2 linked regions of the Drosophila melanogaster genome follow. The protein of the gene in region 1 interacts with the protein of each later gene in a pairwise test. Each region holds a gene or a part of one and is shown on either strand. Other genes may lie near its edges.

Region 1 (8,284 bases):
AGGAAGCAAGTAGAGGATACTCCTGATGAAACAGTCGTTGATGAACCTTCATTTTCAAAACCATTGCCGAAAGTGGCTCGACTGACGGCCAATCCTTTTGCCGATTCCTCCGAGGAATTAGCGAAAAACACCCCAGCACAAGACGATTTTGAAGTGGTTTCATCCACCACCGTTTCTGGAACAAGCCACTCGTGTGCAGATGACGACTTAAGTCGGTTCGATTAATGGGAATAGTTGGAATTTTATTTTTGTAAATATACAGATCCGTATGTGTTGCTTAAAGTTTCGCTTTTGATTTTCTTGTTATTCCACTAAGCGTGTATACTATTTTGTTTTTTGTTGACGCGAGCTATAACGAGCTATATTCCTATATAGACATATACTTTTGTTCGAAATGTTCTAATAACTTTATCCTTACACACTAAATTAATACGATTTTAAATTTCAAACTCGAATGTCCAAGCAAGAATTAAGATTTTGATCTCCTAACATTTTTCGCATTATCACTTACATACATATACATTACAATTGTCTATCGACTCATTCGTAACTTAAACATAATAACCTAGTTGTCCCTATAGGATGGACTGTCTGTACCTCTGTTATTTACACACTGAAAGTATATGTATGTCGTAAGGAGGCTTCACAACTGAATCTCTAAATGTAATATGTAGCTACATTGTCGCTGGTCATGATTAGCTATGGAATCGAGTCTTGAAATCGCGGCTCTGGCAGAAAGTCCTCCTCCAACTCGATGCGCGTATCGCTGTGATATCCTAGCAAAGATTCCGTGTCCTCTTCCATATGTCGAATCGGAAATGTTTTGCCATCGCCAAAGCTAAAGGATATGTGGTGAATTATATCATCAGTGGGAAATTGATAAGTAATGAGTGCGTTATTGTGTATGTAATGGATTGATTGAAGATTCGGTGCTGTGCAGATGAAGCAAAGCTGTCATGTTTATTTATTTGGCAAACTAAAAACAAACCTTTATAAGTTTTAAATACTTTAAAATCCATTTAATTTCGTCACTTGCAGAAGTTCAATAATATATGTATTTGGGCATTAAGGTGTACAAAGTAAGAAAAAGTATAAAAACTTGCAAACAGTTACTAACTACATAAATTAAAACCATATGGAAATTACTGAATTCCGTGTGTGTTAATAGTGTGTACTGAAATCTCATTGCTTATCATTAGGTTTAAGTCTTGAAGATCTTTCGATATCTACAAGGATAGTTGGTTTCATGAATGCATTAGCAAGGTACAAATCTTCGGAGGATAACACCATCTCATCTACTAGGAAATTCCACATTCGATTCTTCTAATTTCCATTAAAAAATTCGATAAATGCGTGTGTGAAACCAATGACATATTGCCTAATGTTAACTTAGTCGATTATACATATGTGGTGATTTATATTATGGTCCCAGCCATTTAAACATTTAAATAGCCTACACTAAACAGCTGATGAATTGCATAGAGGTAACTTATTTGCTTACTAAGAACCGCAACGCTGACAAATCTGGCAGTTTACTTGGCTCTATGGTACAAAAACATACACATAATACATTCTACGTTATTATTTAAACTGGCAGATCGCCATTCGGCGGGCGTGGGAAGCCTTTGGCAGGATCAGCGCTTGTCAACGGATGATCTCCAATCATTTCGATGTATACGGCTGCCCCATTGACTCCACGCTCGTCCGGGCTAGACATGGCTGCTGGCGTGCTGCAGTCTAATGATTGGCCGTTTGCCAGCTTTTGCTGCCGCTCGTTGAGCTCGTCCCGGCATGTAGATGGCGGCTGGATCTGCAACAGCTGGGTTGGCAGGACGCTGGTGCTTCTTACTTGATGAGGCGATTGGTTGTGATGATGGTTAGTGGTGTCGAGGGGACTAGCGCCAATCAACTTATCTGTTGGATTGCCATCTAACCTGCTGGTGGTCGTATCTCCCATGGCATCGTACCGCTGGGTGGGAGAGCTGGTGGACACTCGACTCTGGTCGCTGGAGGTCGGATAGCTGTAGCCATCACCGCGACTAGTTCCGTGATTATGAATAAGCAGAAGGTTGGGGTATTGCGTTAAACAGAGAGTTGTAAACATAAATATTGTTTTTGTTTTTTTACAGTTTAGCTTATTGTAGTTGTAGCTGTTGTTGTTTGAGGTTTTTTTGTTATATAATTTTGCACAGATGTGTGAATACGAATGTAAAAATTTAATCGACTTTTCATGTGTGGCAAGTGTTTTGGTTTTAAAGAAACTTAATGAGCATTTAAAATTCAGAAAGTTCCGTCAGAATTTCAAACTTGGACACTTTAAGTTAGTCACTTTACGGGGCGGACAATTGGTTACTAAGCTTGTTTTGGTTAGATCTAAGTGTCTATTTCTAAAAATCGCTGGCAAAATTTGTCTCTTTTTATTTACAAAAATAAATAACGAACACAATTGAAATAAAGTGATAATTTGAATTTGGCTTAAAACTAAATTACAAAAGGAGATCGACCACATTGATTCATTGCTTTTCGGTCTCATTTTTCAGCATACACAGTTATTATGGGTTTACATAAATTATACGTGTTAGAAATTGCTTTAAGTTAATCTAAAATCTGTGATCTTCAATAGTCGTTTGTTTTTCTTAATAACTTAGCACACCAAACACACATTGAAGGATATTAAAGGTTTTAGCTACAAAGCTTTAATTTTGGAACATGCCTTTAATTTGCCGAAATCAACATAAAAACCAAAATCAAATAGCCATTAGATCAAATCTAATTAAATAAAAGTGCGCAAGAACAACAACTAATGAGTGAGAGAGCTTCTGGTGGAACTAGTAGAAATGGTGTAGTAAATGAATCGTCAAATACCTCGAAAACACGGGCAGGAACCAGTATTGCCAGTCGTCACCAAATACTTCGCAGAAATTGGCATAACGCCCCAAGTTATAACCATTCTTATCGGGGCCGCCAACGCGGAAGATCGGAGCCCTGAACGACTCTGAATGGAAGATAGATTAAAGAGGCTATGGTATGCATGTGATTTATAAGTCAGGCTTTAGGTACTTACCCAATGTCGTGCGATTCACCAGCACAAGGTAGATGTGGTAGCCAAATAAACTCACCAAACTAATGGCAAACATAATGGCAATGAAGAACAGGAACAAGATGTGAAAACGACCCATTCCACTGGCATTTAGCTGTCCCTGTGCCGAGTAACCATTATTATCGTACTTGGATCAGTAAGTACAAGCAGTTTAGATAACATTACAGCAAAACGAGAGAATACATTCATTAACTAACAGGTCTTCGCATGCAGCGGGCATTTAGGGTGGTAGCAAGAGTAGAAACGAATCGGAAACTTACTGCACCTACCTTCCAGAACTCGACAAAGTCGTGTAGCGAGGTAAAAGCCACATACAGGCAGTAGACAAGAGCATAGCCCAGGAACAACACGAAGTACTTGTAGTTGTAAAAGTTAACGCAGTTGTTTACCCAGGGGCAGTGGTGATCCATCTTCAGTACGCAGCAACTGCACACACTACAGTGGTGAGCTCGGTCTGGCTTGATGATCTTGCACTTTTCGCAGAACCGCACCGAACCATTCATTGTGCTGCAAGGCAAAGGTTTAAATATTATCAAAAATGCTTCGGAATGCGCCGTCCTAATTGTTCTGCTGCTGAGAAATGCATTTGGAAATGTCTTAATTGGGACAACTTTTAATTTCTTAGATAAAATGGTTTTGTTTGATAAAGTTATACAAATACAAATCAACTGACAAGATATAACATAACATAACGCTTACCGATTCGTTACTGGCAAATCGCGCGCAAAGTTGTTAAGAATGCGTTTCTGGGTGTCCGGGCTGTCGGCTCGGAAAAGTCGCGACACTTCCTCATCCGGTATCCTCCACTAAAAACGGGAGAAAAGCAATCGAATATTGTAGGCTTTTCCGTTTTCTTTTAATAACACGAGCTGATAAGGTGTATGATTCACTCACTTGATCTGGTATTCGGCCTACGGAGGTCATTATGGTGCGCCAGTACGACCACATGAACAGGGTGAGGAAGAGGTGGTAGAACAGAAGCATGAAGATCATACCAATGCGGTTCTCCGAGTTGCCTGAAAAAGGAAACATCAGGTTATATCCCCCCCCTACATGACTGTAAATACAACTCACGGATGCATAGCTCCACCACATAAGCGTAATAGGACCAAGCTATTACCGCGGTGATAAATAGCACTGGTATCCATTTGAAGACTGCCATACAAAATCCGCAGGGTGTCTTCCGCCGTCGATGATCGTCGTTACCCATTCTATTTATGTGGGCCACCACTTCGGCAAGGGCGCGTGTGTCTCGGGGCGTTGGTGTCACCTCCACCTGGAGCTGGAGCGGATTAGGGGCGATCGATGGGTCTGCAATTGTGGGTGCTCCTCCAGCGGTCGCTCCACTGGCCAATTCAATGTCTTTATCTTTTAGTGATTCACTGACTTCGCAAGCTGTTAACAAACGCTTTTTGACGCTATCCGCTGCTTGCTTCCCCTTTTGGGCGGACAGGTGCCTATTTCACCTTATCGCTGCGACATTTTCGGTAGTATTTCTCAGTTAATTTGCTTTTTCAGATGAAACCAACTAAATTTTGGCTGTCAAATTGGGGAAACTCAAATTGGTTTAGGGATGGGCGGTTCGTGTGTTGTGGGTGCCGTGACACGATACTATCGATTATAAGAATTTCAATTGGTAACACATTTTGGATCATCGTATTCTGCGTAGTTTTCAATATATAATTGCTTGACTTTGGATATGTTTCTGATATAAATATAATAATTCTTCATAATTATTTAGTCTCAGATTTTTATTATGGTACAATTAATTTATTTAAACATCTAACATGATCCAAGACAGATTTCCTCGTACACCCACTCTATATAATGTTTGGTATAAAATAACGTGTACATTTTGTTATGAAATTAAGAACAAATATTTCATCCCATATAAATGTTTTTAATACTTAAATAAGTAGCTGCCATCACTATTACTTATTCAAGTCTAGTATTTTTTAAAGTGTTTCCTAATATACCAAAGTGCATAGTAGTCATTCCCGGCTTGTCTATCATTTAATGAAGTACATTTGATTTTGGATATCGCCGTAATTATAAAAGAGTCCTAAATATTTTTGATCACCATGAGCCGCGAAGTGTTATCACCTCCTGTCCAAAAGATGAGCCAGAATCGGCGCTATAGAGTCAACGTTGTTCACGACGACTTCGGTGGCGACAAGTGGAATGGTCAAAACCAACGGAATAAACTAGAGTACAAAGCCTACGAAGAGCCGGGTAAGTGGATATTGTAGATTTTTAATTATCCACATTGACCACTTCTGTCCAGATCTTTATGGTGATGATGATGATGACGAGGACGATGCGGTTGTCAAATGTATTAAGGAGTCAGCAAATGGCGATTTTAGTCTTTCCATTCATGTGTCCAAGTGGGTTGAATACAAAGAACCGCTGACGATATCTCTGACACATATCCTTGCAGATCATTTTACGGTGGACTAATTGGCATGAAAGGATCTACGAAGCGCCGCATAGAGGAAGAGACCCGTACAGAGATCTTTGTTCCGCGTCCGAACGATAGGTCAAACGAAGTGACTATCAAGGCCAAGCAACGCAGTCAAGTATGCGCTGCACTGCGACAAATCCACCATCTTGTAGCCTCTTTACGAAAAAAAATGAAACCGACACACTTTTTGGCCGTGGCTCTAAACTCTGGAGAAGTCAAGGAGCGTTTTATGGAACTAAAGGTATTAGCTAAAAAAACTAGTTGTGCAAAAACTTATTTCCAATTTTCCTAGAAATGCATTTTGGAGGCCGAGTTGCCAGGCATCGATAAGGAGCTTTTCACTCCGGAGTGCTGCATTCATCTTACCTTAGGCGTCTATGTGCTGCTAGATGACATTGAACGCCAAGAAGCCCTGAAGAATCTGGAATCATGTCGTCGTTTACTGGATGGCCTTAAAATACCTTTCCAAATTAAAGTTAAGGGCCTGGAGATTATGAACGACGATCCAAGCTCCACTCGCATTCTGTATGCCCGCATCGAGTCTCCGGATCTGCAAAAGTTTGCGGATCAGTGTCTGGCCCACTTTCAGACTACAGCACTGTGCGCTACAGACAATATTGAACGTGAATCCATTAAACTGCACATGACGGTGATGAACAACCGCTACCGCAATAAGGCAAATAAATCTGGTAACAGCTTTGACGCTCGCGAGATCCTCAAGCGCTTTGGAGACTTCGATTTCGGAGTAGCCCAGTGCCAGGCTGTACATCTGTGCGTATTGAATTCGCGCTCCGAGGATGAGTTCTATAAGATAAGCGGTAGTCTCGAATTCTAAGAAGAATTGAAATAGAGCTTTATTTAAGTTTTTAATAAGAACATTTAAAAATGTCTTTTAACAAATAAAAGCCTAGCTAACGGAATCTTTCATATGTAACAGGTTTCGGGGTGATCGTTTTTTAGCTTTAAATCTATCATTGACTTCGGTCATAAAGCGTTTTAAGGCTTCAGTTTATTATTTTGGGTTTTTCATTGTTTGTGAACATTGATTTTTTGCTATTTGGTAAACATATATTTTTTTAATTTGATTACTGCAAGGGTATATAAGCTCGGTCTTGCAGAAGTTTTCCTTGTTTCTTGTTGTCATTGAATTTTTTAAAAACACATTTAACTTGTCAAAATATGTGAATCTTTAGTTTCCCTCATCAATGCACTTGAAGCCCAGTTGAAATCATCTAATGAGATAGTTTTATCAATTAAAATATAAGGTCTAAAATAGTTGGCATTCAATTACGCGTTAAGTTAACCACCTCGACATCACAAACGTACAAACCTTAATAAATCCGTAAATAATTCTTCTAGGGATTCCATATTTAAAGGTCAAAGGGTGCACTGTAGATGATTGCATGCTTGCAACAAGGCATGCTTTGTCGGAGTTGAATTATATGTTGAATAATTGAATAAAGACTGCCGTTTCGAATGCTTCCAATATCAGTAGTTATTGTATTTAAAAATAGCCAAGTGTCCAAACTAGAAGTTAAATGTCTGGATATAATAAACGGATACATCCTATCTGCATCGGCTCTGCAAAATATTTCTGACTTTCCCCGTCGCATTCCATCGATATACACATAAAGATTATGACCAACCATTTTCGCATTACTAAGGCGATGAACGGAGTTAACAGCTTTGACCATATATATATCCACTAAAAGTCCATTACATAAATAATCCATTTTCGAGGGACACCAGTAAATTCAATGTAAATTACACATATACGATTTATTTTTCGAATATCAATGATCAAATTGGTTTTGTATATCTTAGGCGACTGGACTGCTTAACACCTTAGTGATGTGCCTGTCGAAATCTTCTCCGGCGCTTTTCCAGGAGAAAACTACGACTTCAAGACAAATGTGCTCTGAGATTTCGCTCACGGTAGGAGTGGTTTTGTTTCCGACTCTTCATTACAATAAATATAAAAATATATCGATTACGTGTAAGGATTTCGGGAAAAATCATTTATTGGGTTTAACAAATTAATGGGTAAAACAAAAAGGTTATATAAAGAGCATGCTTAAGAGCTACGGAGTAGGAAGCCACAAGTGGAGGACACGAACATGTACAAAAAGAGCCAGCTAATAGGCCGGTTTGGAAAGGATATACAAATGTGGAGCATGCCGGTACTCCTGTCCAGACACTCTTACGCACTTGTACAAGAATTGGTTTAAATATAATATCAAAATCAACTTGACGGCTTACTAACTAACTTTATCTACGCACGTTCTGCTTTTTGTTTGCTTAGTAAATGTCAATAGCTTCAGTCTAAAGTTAGGATTTGGTTGACTTTTGTTTAGGCTTTTGTTTTTAAATTGAAGATGATAACATTGGTTCTACTTGTCACGTTGTTGTTCCTTCGGGCGGGATTTGAACTACAATAGTAATGATACTGAAAAATTTTTTTTAGTTCGCACATAGACTATATGGTAAACATTTTAACATATGCAGGCTTTTACATATATATGGATTAGTTTTCGATAAAAGTCGTGACTCAAACAGTGCGTTTTTAGTTTTCTTGTTCTGGGTTTCTTTTTTAAAATAAACTTATCAAAAAGTTTTGGCTGCCTTCCCTTGTCTGGTAATCGACGTGCATACATACCTGTCGATTTTCTTAACTTTTTCAGGATTTTAATTACTCTAGCGGATATGTGTCGGGTATGGTTAAA
Region 2 (8,284 bases), on another chromosome or scaffold:
AAGCCCATTAACTACCATTTAAACAACAAACGAGAGAGAATGCTATAGTCGGGTTCCCCGACTATCAGATACCCGTGTAAGGGCGCTGTCACCTCGAAAACTTTAAAAGCTTTGAAGTTAAGATAATGTATGCATTTCTTTCCTTTTTTCTGATTTTCGAAACGTAACGTTTTAAACGTTTTAATCATTCGTTAATCAAACAGCAATTCATATAACAGAACGTTATATGAATTTTTGTTAAGTGTTCTAAATATTTTGGTAACACAGACAGGACGAAATGAATTTTCTATCTATTAAATAAATTGATATTTAAAGAAAGCAAATTAATTTAGAAATATATTGACAATTTCCAACTAATTTATCTCTGTTATGGAAAATTAGTTTAGGAAAAAAGTTAAAATAACAAAAGGAACCGCTATAGATTTTCTCCACTAGCGCCACTCAACTAAGGGGAGAACGAGGGAGAAACTTTGAAACTTGATTGTCATATCCATAAAATTGTTTAGAATAACAAGAGAGAATGCTATAGTCGAGTTGCCTGAATATCAGATACCCGTTAACCCAGATATTTTTCTGCGATACCAAAAGATGTTGGGGAATAAAATGAGAAAAAATTTCAACAATTTTCAAAAGTGGGGCGTGACCGGTTTGTCGGCTTAAGGGCGTCACAGTGGGTGTGGCAAACAGTTTTTTTTTTGCACATCGATCGGAATTTACAAGACTAATAAAGATGTGAAAAAATATCAATATATTTTTCAAAAGAGTGATCGTGGCATTTTTTCGTGGGCTTGTGGGCGTTGCAACATGGATCAACAAACTTGCGCTGCGTCTTTGTCTCTAGAATCTGCATGCTAAATCTCCGCCTTCCAGCTTTTATAGTTCCTGAGATCTCGACGTTCATACGGACAGACGGACATGGCTATATCGACTCGGCTATTGATCCGTTATACAGTCGGAAACGCTTCCTTCTGCGTGTTACATTCCTTTAAACGAATCTACGTTACTCTACGAGTAACGGGTATAATAACCAAATAAAAAAGTCTAAACATATTTAAAAAATTTGGTTGGCGTTCGAATGAGATGGTGGAGGTATTTTGGCAAAGCGATACAAAGTAGCAAAAAATCAAAAAATGCAATGAAAAATAATTATAACATTTCACAAAAGTGTGGGTGTGAACCTTTTGGGCGGTTTGCCGTCGTTAGGGTGTGCGAATATTTCAAAACTTGCCCACGTACCACTATGTGAAATTTTACCACTTTTTCTGCCCAAAATGAATAACTCCAGGACGTTGAAAGATATTCAGATTGGGTTACAATATATCCGTTCTGAAACCGCCCCTTATATTTGTTGTAGTTTGTAACTCTAGAACGGATAAAGATATTTAAATTTTTTTGCCATTATCTTTTATGATACCAAAAATTGTGGCCGTGGCACCGCCTCTTATATTTAATTAACTAATTTTGTATAGGTATTTCTCTAATTTCGTATGCTTTTTCTAGTCCAAGCAAAAGAATGGTAGCTGTTAAGATGATTTTGGCTTGATGTTTGATGCCAATTTGATGTCCTCGAGATGTTGGTTATATACATTTATTTATATATTTAAGTATGTCCTGTGTGTTAAAGTTTTCAATAGTTGTAAGTGGATGGCTTGTTGCGGTTCTTGCTTGGCTGTCAGCGAGTTCATTTCCTGGTGTTCTTAATAATGCAGAATTTTGCTCTTTTATTTTTATGAGTTCTTAGGGCCTCAATAATGGCTAGTATGATGTGCCGTTTGATAAGTTAAATTTCGTAGTTAATAGCGAAGCTGGTAATTTTGTTTGTTTGAGATCCATCTGTGTAAATGTAGGTCTAGGAAAGATCGTTAGTTTGCTTATTATTTAATATTTTCCTTATCAATTTTGGGGTCGTGTTGTTTTTGTTGAACTTATTGTGTGTTGTGTCGATTTTAGAAAGATTGGTGTTTCAGGGAGGTGAGGTTTGGGGGCATATATTACCCGTTACTCGCAGAGTAAAAGGGTATACTAGATTCGTTGAGAAGTATGAACCGGCGGAAGGAAGCGTTTTCGACCATATAATATATATATATTCTTGATCAGGATCAATAGCCGAGTCGATCTATCCATGCCAGTCTATCGGTCTGTACGTAGGGAAATGCAAAGACAAAACAAAATGTGAAAATATATCGCACATACCTAAGTATGTAGTTATGTAAATACACATACATATATACATATATTTCACATTTTACATAGCCACATATGAATATACATATGTGTTTTCGGGTAGGGTATCATTTTAAAAGTGTCTGTCTTGCGTTACTTACATTTTTTCAATAACAAGTACTCAATACTTTTGCTTTTGGATTGTATTTTCTCCACTGTACATTTGTATAACAAAATCCATAATATTATCTTTTAAGCTACGCATTAAGGTAATTTCAGAAGGAAATGAACGATTCCTAGTGACTTCAATATTATTGAATAATAATTGATTTTTCCAAAAAAAAGATTGTATTCAAATATATTTCGGTATTGTTATATATTCATACATAAATTCATTTATACACATAACGGAAAATTAAAAAACATCGATTAGTTCGTAATCAAAGCACATTAAATCAATGCTTAACAATAATCAGGACACACTATGTAGTACGTTATTTAAAAAATTATTAACATAATGCTTGTGTTCTAACTAAATAACCGACTGACCCTTTCAGGAGTAAGGGAGAACTCTTCATTCTGATAATGAAAATGCGAGAAAGATGGAGCTATTCAAACAGCAAAACATTGATACGGACAAGTCCAGTTCGACTCTACTAGTTTTCCTGATCAAGAATATATGTATATACATTAAAGGGTCGGTAACGCTTCCTTTTACCTGTTAAATACTTTTCAAGGAATTTAATATACGCCTCCACCATACGAGGGCATGAAAATCATTTTTGGTACTTCACAACATTTTTAAAATTGTAAAAGGCTTAAAGATTCCATACAACAGTTATTTAATATCGATAGAAAATTCGCGATTCTGGACTTTTATTTAGAAGTTTTTACCTTATCGATATATCGATAGAAGATATTTAAAATGCTATAAAAGTATTTTGGTTCTTCCAATGTCTAACGCTTTTTTTGAGTGTCCTGTTGAGGAAACCAATGTTTTTTAAGATTTTTTCCCAAAGCTTCACATGCGTTTTATCGTTTGTAAATATAATTCCTAATTAAAGTTTTTTTTATGGACCACTGATATGTAGTTCTTTACCATCAATGCGATAGCTGCGTTCAAGTTCGACACTAAATAAGGCCGATGATTAATCGATACTATCGACAGTGCCCATTCGGCCGATAGCTAAACAAAAACAAAAAAAAAATAAACATAAACAAACAACAGCACAAGGACCGGACCTAGTCAAACAAAACAACGCCATGGGTTTTCCGCGCATCCTCAGCAAGAACAACAAGATCTACACCAAGCTGGGCGAGTTCTGTTTGTCGGGGGATAGCTTCTGGATTGTTTGTCACACGTGCCAAGAGGAGTTGCAGACACAGGATCAGTTCTGGAAGCACATACAGGATGAGCATAATTTCATGCACGGGGTGGCAAAGGTATGCTTTATGTGGTTTTTTTTTGGCGGAGGGTTTATAACCCTTGGTCTCTTTACACAGGAACACAGTCGTACATCCAGCTACTGCCTAACGGATGTGGAGGCTGCGGCGGCAGCAGCAACGCCAGGAAGCAGCTCCCAGCAAGGCGCCACAGCGATCAGTGTGCCTCTGGCACTTTACACCTGCTCAACCAAGTATTCTGAGGAGGAGCAGCGGGAGGTGGAAATGCACGAACAGCAGGTGCAACACCAAGTGCAACAGCAGCAAGCGCAGCAGCAGCAAGCGCAGCAGCAACAACACCAACAGTCTCAGCAGCAAGGGCACCAGCAACACCAGGTTCAACAACAGCAGACCCACCAGCAGCTCCAACAGCAGCGGGATGTTGCCAAGGAGCTGGCTGAACTCCATGCCAATGCGGTAGCTGCCGCTGCAGCCTCCGCAGCTGTGGTATCCACAGGCGAAGGAACTACCCAAAGTAACAGCGCCATCGACATTAAAATAGAGCCCAGCAGTCTGACACTTACACCCGAAATGCAGGCTGCTGCAGCAGCTGGGGGGACCATTTACCATCTGCCACAGCTAGTTCCACCACCTGTACCGCCTCCACCGCCAGGGTCCGGATTTGTAAGCGTCAGCGCCAGTACCAGCACCTCCAATACGGTCAGCACCACGCCACCCAATGTTCTACAGCAGCAACAGCAACTAAACATGTCTGTCGTTCCTTCGACGGCTATGGCCGCCGCTATGCTAGCCGCCAGTCAGGAACAGCTGCCCAAGGACTCTAACAGCACGACGGCCAGCGCCGGGAGTGCTGTCTCTTCAGATGACGGAGAACGCTGGTACGTCTGCGATTACGAGACTTGTGGTTTGAAGTTTAAGTATAAGTCGAGAATGGAGCTACATCGGGTAGTTCACAGCAAGGAGCGGCGGTTCAATTGCGAACTGTGCAGTGCCTCCTTCAAGCAGTCGTGCAACCTATCAACACACCGGAAGAAAAAGCACGCACTGAGAGGCATCAAAAGCGAGATATTGCCGCAGCGCTTTTAGGCTATACATTAAACAGAGACAGCTCAAAGATTCCCCAATTAACCACATTGCATCTCGAAAAACCCTGTTTGAAAATGTTGACTTAAGTTCAAGGAAATCGCTTGTTTGCCACAAAAAATGTTCATTGTGCTAGGAGCCACAGAAATCTGTTGAATTAGCAAGGTGTGTACAAAAGAGTTCTACATTTTGTCTCTTCCATGATTTCTCTGCCTTTTCTAAGACTCAATAAAGTTATAGACTTTATATTTATATTTATAAATTAAATAATTCTGGATAATTCCGACTGTAAATTAAAATTTAGCACTGCGTCAACATTGTGGCAGGCAAGTGACATATATATGTATATCACATATGTGTATATATATATGCTCTACAAATGAATATATATTGTATATAAATAAATATATAATATAAATATATATAACATGTATGCATATTTAGTATATAAAAATATACAAATATAAACTAATATCTAATGTAGGCTTAGGTTGTCATGTAAATGTAATGTAAATGTTTAGGCAGAGGTATGAAAACCCCCGTTATCTTTTACGCTCTAAGTGTACATGCAATGATGTGTGTAAAGGAGACCAAAATTTAGAAGACGGAATTAAGCCCAACCAAAAAATATGTTGGTGTCTAGACCGTTGTGAGTTTTGTTTTAGAGTAAATTGGTTCACAATGTGTTAAAACCGATTAGTCTCCTTTGAGTAAGTCTTTTACTTTAAGTTGAAATGGATTCTGAGGACAGCGAGATTTCTGGGACATATCTAGTGGTTGCTGAAATAGTGTCAGTTACAGTTTACAAGGTTAGAACAGTTATTTACCTAGATACACAATATTTATGTATATATGGCCATATATACAGCTGCGAAAAATTTAATATTACCACTTGCCCAATCAAGGTTTGAATAAGTCCCAATTTTAGGATTTAAAAAGAGCAAAAATACCTTTTTAGAAAAGTTAAATCATGCACTTATTAGAAAATAAAAAATAATTACATTGTTCTATGAGTTCTTAACTTAATTAGCCACGTCATGAAAAATGCTTAAATATTCAATTTTAAACAGCTGTTCAACGTGTTGGCATGGATTGATTCAGGTCCTGGCACTGTTTAAGGGATATTTAGGTCCAGGACTTCTTAATTACAGCCCAAAGTTTTCCATTGTTAGTTGCTCGAGAAGCTACAACTGCCTTTTTATTATCGTTGAAAGTATGTAACAGGCAGAAAGGAATCCGACCATATAAAGTATATAACTGCTACGCCCACATTTTTGAAAAATTGTTTGATATTTTTTCATAATTTTATTAGTTGTGTAAATTTCTATCGATTTGCCAAAAAACAGTTTTGAACAATTCTTAAATTTTTTCTCATTTTATTCCCCAATATCTATCGATATCATAATAAAATGATAAAATTTCGTGTTCGCATTCACACTAGCTGAGCAACGGGTATCTCTCTTGTTTTTCTTGTATTTTATCCATTGCCCACAAAGTTAACAACCTTGCTCACATCTGACCATAAAATGTTAATGCGCTTGGCTATGTGTCTCCCATTAAAAGGAGGGACTTTCCTTGGACTTCAGTATTTTAAACCATGTTCCCTGAGACATGTTCGAACTGTTTCTGCTATTGCGAATATGCCGAGCATCTGTTTCAGTTCGATAGCAGCTTTAAATGGGTCCTTCCTGCTCTCGCGCACTAGCCTTTTGAGTTTTTTAATTTTTCGCACTATGGGAAATTTGAACACCTTTTTTGTCCAAAATTAATAGCTCGAGAACGATATTAAGATATTTTTTTTGCATTGGGTTACACTAGCACATAACTAATTTTGTATAGGGCTAGGCGATTTCTGTGGCGCTCTAGCCTGTCGTGGTACCCGCTGGAGTGCATGTTTATTGCCTCGAAGACAGTGGCTAGCTTGAGGTCTTTGTGCAGGGTTGCGTTCCTTACGAACCATTCGTATCCCGTTATCATCCTGGCGATTTTGTTTTGGGCAGCCTGAATGCGACGAATTTGACTGTCGCACGCCAAGCCCCAAATTTGGCAACCATTCCGACATATTGGCGCTAAAATTTGCTTGTAAATTGTCACCTTGTTGGAGAGTGACAATTTACTTCGCAAATTAATTAACCAGAAGTGCTTTGACGCTGCTGCACGTATACGCACTCTCATCGCACTTGCTTCGGAAAGTTGAGTCTCCGATCCAAGATTACACCAAGATATTTGGATGAATTGGACTGGGGGACAGGGGTACCATCGATGAGCACAGCCGGTGGTGTTCCCCTTTTCAGTGTGTAGCACACATTCGCTGATTTGTCACCATTGATGCCAATGTTCCAACGTCTTGCATATTGCGCAAATGTTGATGTGAATTCCTGGATGCCTTGATATTAAGGGTGAGAGTGTCAACAGCTTCTTCTAGGTCTCTCCATCTTGGTATAAACTGTAGCTGTTGCATCTAGTGTATAATAAGCGGTAGGGGGTCGGAGCTGAACTCAGCAACAGAACGTTCAATATATCAGCATGCATATCCAGTATGCCCCTGCTGACAGCAAAATCTATATATTCTGGGGAGCCTCTACTGCCGTACGGGAATCTTGTAGGACCTCCGGTTGCTAGGGAGCTCATATCTGAGCTTAGGACCAGATTCGCTAGCTCACGCCCTCTTCGATTGCACCTACCCGCTCCCCATAGCCAGTGGGATGCATAATGCATTTAAATTCGTCCGTATTCCATATGAACCTCGGGGGCAGTATATCGCGCAAAAATTGACAGGGCCATGGCCCGTCTCGATGGCTGCAGACGCGAGTTGCACCTTGTCAGTGGCTATCGGTGTAAGAGGGAAGTGGACTAGGCTGGAATTGACCAGGATCGCTGCACCACCTTTGGCGTTACCGTCGCTCGGGTCGTTGGCAGTGTAGGACTGAAATCCAAATATTTTGGGTATATGCGTCTCCTTGTAGTGAGTCTCGCTGAGCAGCAGGACGTTGTGCGCCGCACAAAGCATTCCACTTCTGACAGCTTCGTGGACACGCCATCGGCGTTCGACACTAAGATGCGCAGTGGCATCATTATGGCGCTTGACGCGCTTGGAGAGCAGTGAGCAGATTGATGATCTGCCCCTGCTGCTGTGACTGTTGTTGCTGTTGTGTCATCATCATCATCATTAACTCCATCTGCTTCTCTTGAATCGAGCGCAAAGAATTAATACTTTCATTTAGCGTCTGCAGGATGGCTTCAATGCTGCTGCTAGCATCCATCGAGCGCTGAAGTGTGTCCCCAGACGACCTTAGCCGGCTGCGGTTTTTTTGACGTCTGAAGCTTCTATTATTGGGCTGTTGCTGTTGCTTCTGTTGTTGGTGCGTCAAGCTCAGTGGTTGCTTATGGTGAACGAACCCTGTAACCACATCTGCATACGATATACCTCCTCTAGAAGAGGGGATCTCCCTACCTCCAGATAAGCCCTGTGTAGTTGGTCGCTCCTTTACCTCGGTTCTTCCGGCCACTCCACTTCTGGGTCTGGATCGCTGCATGAACGCTTGTAGTTTGCTGCAACCTTAATAATTTGCAGGATGCTGTCCACCACAGTTGTAGCAAGTGCACAGCTCGATGCGAGGCCTAGTACAGTCCT

The links. Proteins that work in one complex are often made in the same cells at the same time.
Region 2: the proteins of CG1407 (region 1) and ATbp interact in a two-hybrid assay, tested with the Drosophila melanogaster proteins (one large-scale study listed by BioGRID).

What each region holds. Positions count from the first base shown.
Region 1 is NT_033778.4:10,028,220-10,036,503, forward strand, and holds CG1407 (uncharacterized protein), read right to left. Parts: upstream 4,675-8,284; 5' UTR 4,311-4,674; coding exon 4,175-4,310; intron 4,117-4,174; coding exon 3,995-4,116; intron 3,907-3,994; coding exon 3,800-3,906; intron 3,608-3,799; coding exon 3,361-3,607; coding exon of another isoform or gene 3,289-3,360; exon of another isoform or gene 3,228-3,288; coding exon 3,065-3,227; intron 2,996-3,064; coding exon 2,866-2,995; intron 2,450-2,865; exon of another isoform or gene 2,040-2,449; coding exon 1,586-2,039; 3' UTR 1,044-1,585; downstream 1-1,043. Other genes in the region: CG12128 (uncharacterized protein), read left to right, coding at 1-225; CG12129 (uncharacterized protein), read left to right, coding at 5,182-5,332, 5,385-5,484, 5,538-5,802, 5,854-6,396.
Region 2 is NC_004354.4:23,102,678-23,110,961, forward strand, and holds ATbp ((A+T)-stretch binding protein), read left to right. Parts: upstream 1-3,325; 5' UTR 3,326-3,426; coding exon 3,427-3,606; intron 3,607-3,666; coding exon 3,667-4,653; 3' UTR 4,654-5,654; downstream 5,655-8,284. UniProt on the Drosophila melanogaster protein: May be a transcription factor for genes having (A+T) stretches in their promoter and/or enhancer regions. Binds to AT rich DNA.